Drosophila melanogaster: one gene and its partner. The protein of the gene in region 1 interacts with the protein of each later gene in a pairwise test. Each region holds a gene or a part of one and is shown in the gene's direction. Other genes may lie near its edges.

What was found. The genes of interacting proteins can lie anywhere in the genome.
Region 2: the proteins of Vm32E (region 1) and RpS5a interact in a two-hybrid assay, tested with the Drosophila melanogaster proteins (one large-scale study listed by BioGRID).

Annotation. Positions count from the first base shown.
Region 1 is NT_033779.5:11,170,626-11,173,547, reverse strand, and holds Vm32E (vitelline membrane 32E), read left to right. Parts: upstream 1-1,882; 5' UTR 1,883-1,913; coding exon 1,914-2,264; 3' UTR 2,265-2,381; downstream 2,382-2,922. UniProt on the Drosophila melanogaster protein: Major early eggshell protein.
Region 2 is NC_004354.4:17,143,051-17,149,819, reverse strand, and holds RpS5a (ribosomal protein S5a), read left to right. Parts: upstream 1-1,555; 5' UTR 1,556-1,616; exon of another isoform or gene 1,617-2,132; intron 2,133-2,613; exon of another isoform or gene 2,614-2,619; 5' UTR 2,620-2,620; coding exon 2,621-3,022; intron 3,023-3,060; exon of another isoform or gene 3,061-3,208; intron 3,209-3,274; exon of another isoform or gene 3,275-3,419; intron 3,420-3,429; exon of another isoform or gene 3,430-3,572; intron 3,573-3,604; exon of another isoform or gene 3,605-3,746; intron 3,747-3,778; exon of another isoform or gene 3,779-3,917; intron 3,918-3,939; exon of another isoform or gene 3,940-4,090; intron 4,091-4,124; exon of another isoform or gene 4,125-4,263; intron 4,264-4,285; exon of another isoform or gene 4,286-4,436; intron 4,437-4,470; exon of another isoform or gene 4,471-4,610; intron 4,611-4,687; coding exon 4,688-4,804; intron 4,805-4,849; exon of another isoform or gene 4,850-4,989; intron 4,990-5,103; coding exon 5,104-5,202; intron 5,203-5,245; exon of another isoform or gene 5,246-5,385; intron 5,386-5,399; exon of another isoform or gene 5,400-5,537; intron 5,538-5,579; exon of another isoform or gene 5,580-5,713; intron 5,714-5,751; exon of another isoform or gene 5,752-5,886; intron 5,887-6,048; and 3 more. Other genes in the region: Chchd2 (Coiled-coil-helix-coiled-coil-helix domain containing 2), read right to left, coding at 637-683.

The DNA of each region.
Region 1 (2,922 bases):
AAGCGTCTAGAAAAAAAATTGAACGAAAACAAAGGAGTAGAAAGAAGGCCATAAAATATTTGAGAAGTGAAGGCCTACGGATTGTATGCTTAGTCAATAAAACAAAGGCTAAGTCTTAAATATTCATTGATCAGTTGCTGAACCAATAACCAATTAAAATCCACCTAAGATGGTGTATGTCCCAAGGCCATTATTCTATATAATATTACCCCACCCTGGACTACCTGCAATTGGAGTTCCAGTTAAGATGTATATCTTGGGGCCATGTCTGGATCGCACACACACACACACATACACACACGTACGCACACCGAAAACAAGGGCAGGTATTTGTTTACCGTTAGAGGGGGCAATCAAAACGGCTCTACACCCGAAAATTTCGATGGATCCACTTCGAAACGAAGGTGCCCCACTTTGAAGGCCAGCGGCAGGCGATCGGCACAAAGCCTATGATTAAAATTTAGGTCCGATCTTATACATATGTATGTATGTATGTATGTACGTATGTGGTGTGCTTTATATGGTGCATGTGCGTAATTGCCCGACCCAAAATCCAGCGGTCGCGATCCTTCTCAAATTAAAGTATACACCCCTCTTCGCTTTTCGGCGGGGAAAGTTACCTGCGGCCAAAGTTAGATTCAAAAACAATATCAACTTGAGGGGGGCTTTCGTTTTGGACAGACAGTTGCATGAGAAACTGTTTGTTATCATCAGCAAATTGTATAACTAAAGCCACAATTAGAGAAGGAATTATTGAACGAGACACAGGTTCCAAATCGAATAGTCATCAATCATAATTATAAATATTACATCTTAAGCTTAGAAAAGAATGGGCTAGTACACACATAGCTGTTTTACTTGCTGCTCTTACGAATTAAACCAATTATGCAAATAGATCTTTTTAAGCATTATTTTCTTACCAACCTTCCAGGAAACTATGTTTCTTATTTGCATAGAATATCATTCAAAAAACGGGTTGCAATTTATGCACTCTACATTCAAGTTTATGACTGTTTCGTTTTGGTCAATTAGGATTTCCATAATAAATGGACGCAGGTCAAATCGAGTTATGACTAAAAGATGACATAAATTTTCAATACAAATTTCCATTTATTGCTAAATTATCGTAAAAGAAACTGAAACAGATAGGTTGGCAAAAAGATCTCTATATGCCGAATATAATAAAAAGAAAACTTAATCAATTAGAATATTTGCAAATTGTGTAAATTTATATTTTTATGTTCTGACTTTATAAATAAACTGAAAACTTTATAAACATTTTTTTATCGTAACATGAAATTATGTGTTTGAAGGCAAAACTCTTGAAATACGATAAACTAGTCTCCAAGGCGAAATCTAGATTGTGGTTTGTGTACTCGCTAAGGAGACCTGATCTGTTCTGAGTGTACCCGCTAGGGGTCGCTCTACTACATACGATAAGATAAAATGACTTCTTTATTTAATTTTTAGGATAACCATTTTTAAAAGCGAAGTATTTATTAGCAGATTAAATGTTACATACGTTTTATTAACTTGTAAAAATTGGCAGCCGTTTAAGTAATACTTAAATATCGTACTTGGGAAATTGGGTCAATAAACAGCTGAGGTCCAAAAAATGAGCAAATTCACATTCGATTTGCACTTTGGACGCAATAATTTAATTGCTCTGCTATTAAGCTCTGCAAAAAGGGAGACAGACTGCATGGTGACAGTAATTTTTTGCCACATTAGGTGATAATCGTCTGCTTGTTTCTAGTTTGCGACCCGTTTAAATTGCTTGCTATGTGATGGCACTGCATTTCTTAAAGCCTACGGTAAAAGTGCCGAGTTTTGTTATTAAAGTCAACGCATGAATGCTATAAGAATGCCACCATTGGTCACTAAATCGACAGTTGTAAATCACTTAGTTCATCATGCAGATCGTTGCTCTCACCCTCGTTGCGTTTGTGGCCATTGCCGGTGCCTCCTGCCCGTATGCAGCTCCAGCTCCAGCTTATTCAGCGCCCGCTGCTTCTTCTGGCTACCCGGCTCCACCATGCCCCACCAACTACCTGTTCAGCTGCCAGCCCAATTTGGCCCCAGCTCCTTGTGCCCAGGAGGCCCCAGCCTATGGATCCGCCGGCGCCTACACAGAACAGGTGCCCCACTACGTGGGAAGTCCCAACCGAGAGCAGTTGCAGCAATTTCACCAGCGCATTGGAATGGCGGCTTTGATGGAGGAACTGCGCGGCTTGGGCCAAGGAATCCAGGGTCAACAGTACTAGTGGCAAAAAAAAATTCATGTGAAGAATGTTTTCGAATTAAATCCGTCTATGCTTTAATTGGACTTTATACTATGGAACAAAAAAAAATTGGGATTGGAGATAAGGAAAACTGGTAACAAAAAAAAAAATGATTTAAAACTTATTTTTTGTTGTTTTGTGCCCTCTGCCCTCCGATTCCTTTTCGAAAGCCATAAAGAACATGTGTCGTCTGTATTTATATATTCTAACTGCAGCCGTCCTAAAACGGATTATTGCAAGCCATTTTCCGAGCGATTCACCTCTTGAATTTCCCATTACTAGATGATTCTCACGAGATCGTCTCCGTTGGTTTCTCTCGCGGGCATTTTTGTCAATGGATGCGGCGCGGGTGCCAAATATATTGTCAGTCGAAATTGCTGTCTTGTGCGGTCGGTCGCATATTCAGACGTCTCCACCGCGAACCGCTTGAAACTGCTCCACATTGCTTTGCCCAAGTGGATCACGCCCTCGGAACATAAATCCCATCAAGCATATAGATTCCAGCAGGATGGCGTTGCGTTCGTTCAAATCGCTGCCATGTGACGGACTCTAAGTCCCATAGCCACATTTGTGACCCAATTCGATGAGCAATTGTGTCTGTGTGCCTGTGTGTGTGTGTGTGTGTGCGGGGCTCTTGGCC
Region 2 (6,769 bases), on another chromosome or scaffold:
GAAGCAATCAGTTGTTATTGTGGACTTTGCTCTGGAGTGTCGTTGATCATTCCGTGACGAAATTGAAGGGTCTTTGTGTTGAAAACAATGAACTATACAAATTTAACTAATTCCTAGGATTTTTAAAGGACTTTATTTTATATCTACTGCAAAAGTAGGTAATATTTTTATATTCCTATGCAAATTCTTGTTTTCTTTATAATAAGCCAAATTGTATAAACATTTGAATATTTTACTTTTTTAACGCAAAATAAAAACATGTGATGTTTTTAATTTAATAAATCAATGGCCTGGGATATATATATATATTTACATAGAACAATAAATTTAGTAAATTTCTTACAAAAATGGATTTTATGAGCACTTTCGTAATTGAATAAGTAGCCAGATTTAGCGGGTCTTCCGCTAGGAGGACAGCACCAATAAAACATCCCATGTTATTGGGAATCCTCTTATTTTTAAGGTTACGTAACCTTAACCCATTTCGGGGGCCGGAAAAAGCGGCGGAAGTGAAATTCTGTCCATGAGATAAAGCCAGATCATCCGATTGATTGGTCGGTGATTACGAAATGAATTTCCTGCCGGCGCTTTATCCAATTTCCCCCGAATTTTCTTTGTTTTTCGCGACTGTCTTACCGACGAGTGGAGGGCGGGGGACTGGCTGAACGTCCACGGCGAACCATTTTGTTTGTTTTATTTGTTTTTCTATTGATTCGGTTTCACGCAAGAATTTTATTCTCAACAGTTGTTGCTGTTTTGATGACGAGCTAGTAACTGAAATTCCGAAATAATCCCAATTGGACGAGAAACTTCGGCCTGCTGCCAGTGTGGCCGGAGAAAATACCGAAAAATACTAAGGCATAAGGTGTAAACTATCGGATATAGAATGTGCCAGAAAAGTTAATAATATGGGTAAATTCTTATGATTAAAAATATATTTTACTAAAGTATTTGGATATTGTATTCGTGTAAAAACGTTTTACCACCCTTAAATTTACTATGTAATATAGTAAAATTTTTGTGTATTTTATATATCCCATATATATAATCTTTACATACCACATATTTTTTTCCACTTACAAAATCAAATAAAGAACTATATGTTATAAATATATATGCATTACGATTTAAATAACTTTTTATTTTACAGTCAGTGAAATAATAACATTTAATACTCAAGCATATCAAAATTTCTATAAGGTGACCGTAATAAAGAAAATTTGGCATGCGAATTTCAACTATCGCCACCCGTTGTGACTGGCAAAACCGCGAAATGCCGCATATCGATAGAAAGTTCGAAATTTGTCATTAAAAAAGTGGCTTAAAACTAATAGTATGCCTGAAAGCAGGGTATATTTCTATGAAGTACATATAAATGTGCAACTCAAGTAGCAAACGCGTTCGAAAAAGTGATTAAGTCGAGGAATAATCCCCACTCATGGCCGCCTATCTCCGTTCGATAGTTCACTTGTTGCGCAGCCCTGGCAGCCGGAATGCAACCGTGTGCGTGTCGGCGGAAGCGGACTCTCTGGCGTTGCTGCACACTGCCGTAACATGTTCTTTTTCAGGCGTTTGCCTTTGCGCTGACATCGTATCTCGATTTCTTCTGTGACAAAGTAAGGGATTTTCAACGTTTAATTGTGTGGATTGTGGCCAGAGGATGGCCAAAAGACGGCTAAACGCTGGCAACTAGTGTGGATACTAAGGGTTTTGTGAATTTACTGCGGCAAACTGCGGAATATTGCCATTTCCACCGAAATGAGGTTAAAAACGGGCGGCTTTTTGTTTGTGTGTGTGCGCGCGAGTGCAACTGTGTGTGTGCGTCACACGTGTTTGTTTCCCCTTTTTTTTTGTATATTTTTTTTATCTGCTTGCAGCGCAAGAATATGTTTAATACAATATACATCCACGTATATTGAGCCAATTATCCAAAAGGATAACCTTCAAGAAAGTATAAACCCTTAAAAACTCGCAATTCAACAACAACAACGCGCGTGTGTTTTTTACGGTGCTTATGCGTGTGTGTGTGTGCGTATAGCGCCCATCTACAGTTTAAAAAAAACGTGTTAACGCAGGAAAACTACTTAAATATGTATTTAAAAGTTATTGTGACCCTTTTTGTATACTTAAACGTAATCTTCACTGAAACTTCCGTCTTTCATAAACCTTGGAACTTTTTTTGTAGTTTATTTTTGTTTTAAGACGTTTTTAAGATTTAAAAACGAATGTTAAGGCTCTAAAAATTATTCGTATCAGTTTATCACAGCCTTTTCTTGGGTTTTGTATTTGTAAAAGAATTTTTCAAACGAAATCTAGTTAAAGTTATAAACAATTTGTATGTGTATAAAATTTGTACAAAAGGGACGATGTTTCCATAAACAAATACTGAAAAACACGTTTCTGTAAAACTTCTAGGTGATGTTCAAGCCATACAATGATGTTCAATAATAGAAGTTAGCTTATTAAAATCAACGAACAAATACCATTAACCAACCATTAATGAATGTCTGTGATAGTAATAGATCGCAAAGCCCTCAAGTATCCCATCCCACAGTAGAATTACCAATACCGATTTGCAGACACGTGACTAACTTATTTGCCTTCCAAAAACTATTGCAGCATGGCCGAAGTTGCTGAAAACGTGGTGGAGACCTTCGAGGAGCCAGCGGCACCTATGGAAGCCGAGGTGGCCGAGACGATCCTGGAGACAAATGTGGTGTCCACCACTGAGCTGCCGGAGATCAAGCTGTTCGGCCGCTGGTCTTGCGACGATGTCACCGTTAACGACATCTCTCTGCAGGATTACATCTCGGTGAAGGAGAAGTTTGCCCGCTATCTTCCCCATTCCGCCGGACGTTATGCCGCCAAGCGTTTCCGCAAGGCCCAGTGCCCCATTGTGGAGCGTTTGACCTGCTCCCTGATGATGAAGGGTCGCAACAACGGCAAGAAGCTGATGGCCTGCCGCATCGTCAAGCACTCGTTCGAGATCATTCATCTGCTCACCGGGGAGAACCCTCTGCAGGTAAACATGCCCATCCCGTCCAAATGTTCCCAATTCCACCGCGTCCCATGCTAAACTGTGGCCAGAGAACGTTGCCACTCGGTCATGGGTAGAATGGGCACGCAGAGCGAACACAAGGTTTTAATGTCCTAGTGCTTGAAGATATCAAAGCCTCTTCTTGTTCTCCGGGAACTTAAAACCACATTACAAAACCATTATAAAGCATATGCGGTACCTTGGTTTAAACTGATTTAAAGGGAATCTTCACTGATTTCTAGTCCTCCTCAATGCTGGCTATGTTCTACATACTTTCCGAAGCATAACTCTCAAAGGGACTAATAGTGAACCAAAGATTTAATTATCCTAGTGCTAGAATAGAAAGCAAATTCTGGTTCTCCTGGAACTTAAAGCTACAATAGTATTATAGAGGAGTCCTCCTCAATGCCAGTTGATGGTAATTTTCAGCCGAACTGAGCATAACTCTTAATGGACTCATAGGAAAAGGTATTAACTATCCTTGTGCTTGAAGATAAAACCACTTCCCGCTCTCCTGGAACTTAATTCGACATTTAAGACAATAGCATATTAGTGGATCTTTCACAATGAGTCTACCTCAATGCTAGTTGAAGGAAATTCCATCCCAGCTAAGGCATATATTAAATAGACTCAGAGGAATAAGTGTTAATTATCCTAGTGCTTGAAGATTAAGCCACTTCCCGCTCTCCTGGAATTTAAGACTACATTAGAAAGAAAGCATTCATTACAGAGATCAGTGTCCGTCCAAAACTAAAACTGCAGCGTTGATCTCTGCAGCGTTGTGGCATTCAATTGGACCACAGGAAATCCCATGGTTAGCTATTCCTCTTAAGGGCATGGCCTCAAAAATGCAATCTTAATAAAGCATAAATCAACAAAATCCTATTCTCAGAAACCGCGTGTCAGTCCACCTCAATGCCAGATGGCTTAAAAATACGATGCCATACTGAGCATAACCAAAAATGGACTAATATCAATTGAAATTGTTTTAACTATCCTTGTGCTTGAAGATATAAGCCACTTCCTGCTCTCCTGGAAATTAAAACAACACTAAAGTTAAGCATTATTCACCAAGGGTATCATTATCCGTCCAAAACTAAAACTGCAGCGTTGATCCTTACAGGGTTGTGGTATTCAACTGGACCATAATAAACCCCATGATTAGCTATTCCTCTTAAGGGCATGGCCTCAAAAATGCAACCTTAATAAAGCATAAATCAACAAAAACCTATTCTCAGAAACCGCGTGTCAGTCCACCTCAATGCCAGATGGCTTAAAAATACGATGCCATACTGAGCATAACCAAAAATGGACTAATATCAATTGAAATTGTTTTAACTATCCTTGTGCCTGAAGATATAAGCCACTTCCTGCTCTCCTGGAAATTAAAACAACACTAAAGTTAAGCATTATTCACCAAGGGTATCATTATCCGTCCAAAACTAAAACTGCAGCGTTGATCCCTACAGCGTTGTGGTATTCAATTGGACCACAATAAACCCCATGATTAGCTATTCCTCTTAAGGGCATGGCCTCAAAAATGCAACCTTAATAAAGCAATAAATCAACAGCAAAAATTCTACTTTGGTGCTTCGAGTGGATCAAGTGATAGCTTACTCATTTCGATTTTTTTTTGTGACCTCTTTGCAGATCCTGGTCAGCGCCATCATCAACTCGGGACCCCGTGAGGACTCCACCCGTATTGGACGTGCCGGTACCGTCCGTCGCCAGGCCGTCGATGTGTCGCCCCTGCGTCGCGTCAACCAGGTGGGTTTCTTCTGAAGATTTGCCTTCCAGATGCATGTGCTCACGGTGGCCGGTAGCAATGGCTTGTGGTTCGTTTAGAGACTGCTTGCTTATAACACTTGGCCAGAACGAAAATCTATCTAATATCCGTAGCGTCATAATGTGTAGTATAGCCGACATTTGGCGTATGAAACGAAGAGACATTATCAATTGCATAACACACTTTCATTTTACTAACGATAAGAACCCCAAATTCTTACGCTGCTGTGATTGCGTTCATAAAGTTACTTAATTAATTTTTTTCCGTATATTTCCTTTAGGCTATCTGGCTGCTGTGCACTGGAGCTCGTGAGGCTGCCTTCAGGAACATCAAGACCATCGCCGAGTGCCTGGCTGATGAGCTGATCAACGCTGCTAAGGTGGGTAAATTGGGCTTGTGGCGAGATCAAAGTGGGAATGGGGTGGTCTACTCTAATGCTTGGCATTGTACTACCAAAATGCCTGGCCTCGCTTGTAGACCAGATCGAGAACCACGTTCGGCACTCGGATTAACCCAAGAATTGAGCTTCGAAATAGCTCTTTTCTTCCTTCTAGTGACACAGCTAGTCATTTCAACTAGTCCAATCTAATTCTGCATCATGGTTTATTTATGTAGTCTCGCTTTTGGACCAGATCAAACTCCAAATCTCTTATTATCCTTGTGCTAGTGACCACTTAACTGTCCTATGCACACGAGAAACGTAAAAGAACACTTTTATGAATTAGCATTTAGGAACTGATTCGATTAGGATAGCGGGGGTCCAATCTAATTCTGCATAGTGGTTTAATTATGTAGTCTCGCTTTTGGACCAGAACAATCACCATCCTTTATTATCCTTGTGCTTGTGACAATATCAGTCTAATGCACACGAGAAACGTAAAAGAACATTAGCAAACTATTTAAGAGTTGGTATATAGAGCTTAATAATAGGTCCAATCTAATTCTGCATGGTGGTTTAATTATGTAGTCTCGCTTTTGGACCAGATTAATTTCCATCCTTTATTATCCTTGTGCTTGTAATATTGCTTAGTTCAATGCACATGAGAAACGTAAAGGAACACTAGCTTTAAATAAGTTAGGGACTTGTTTTTTTATATTTATTTATTTAGAAGCGATGAATCCATACAATGCAGTAACAGTAACATAACAGCGCAATTAACATATAAAAGATCTAGAAAAACATTGATAGCCAATACTAATAACTTGTGTTTAAATGTATTTCCAGGGATCTTCCAACTCGTACGCCATCAAGAAGAAGGATGAGTTGGAGCGTGTCGCCAAGTCCAACCGTTAAGGAGACATCATCACCAGCAAAAACAAACTTCTGTCTGTTTTTTTTTATACAAATAACGTGTGTACACTGAGAAATGATACACTAAAACTAAAATAAACAACAAGATGAAAAATTCACTTCAGACCATTCTTTTTTTATAGTTTTTAGTTTATAATAAACTTGGTTGTCAGAGAAGAACGGATATTTTAGCTATTTTCTATCGGGCTGCTGGTGTCAGAAATATGTGAGGTTAAGCGTGAGTAAAACGTGAAATTGTCTTGCTTGGAATAGCTAAAAATATTGAAATGAAATTTAGCTAAAAAATTAAAGTAAATTACATGGTTTAAACAAATTGAAACTTTAAAAAGTTTTTTTTATCGATATTGATACAATTTCTTTCATAGATATTTCTCTAACTACTCACGATAGATCACTAAAATACGGTTTTTTTAGTGTATAAAATCTATAGATAGTTGCGATACTCCATCGATCTGGCATCACTTTTCTAAAATAAATGTATTGGAAAGCTGGCAACAGTTTACAATACTCCGATTGTTTTAAGCCCTTAAATTCTACATTTATATATTCTATTCTTCGCTTTTGAAGAACTCTATGCCAAAGCAACAAAAGATCCATTTATTGTAGGAGGCTAGTCATTAGTCATTTAACGACA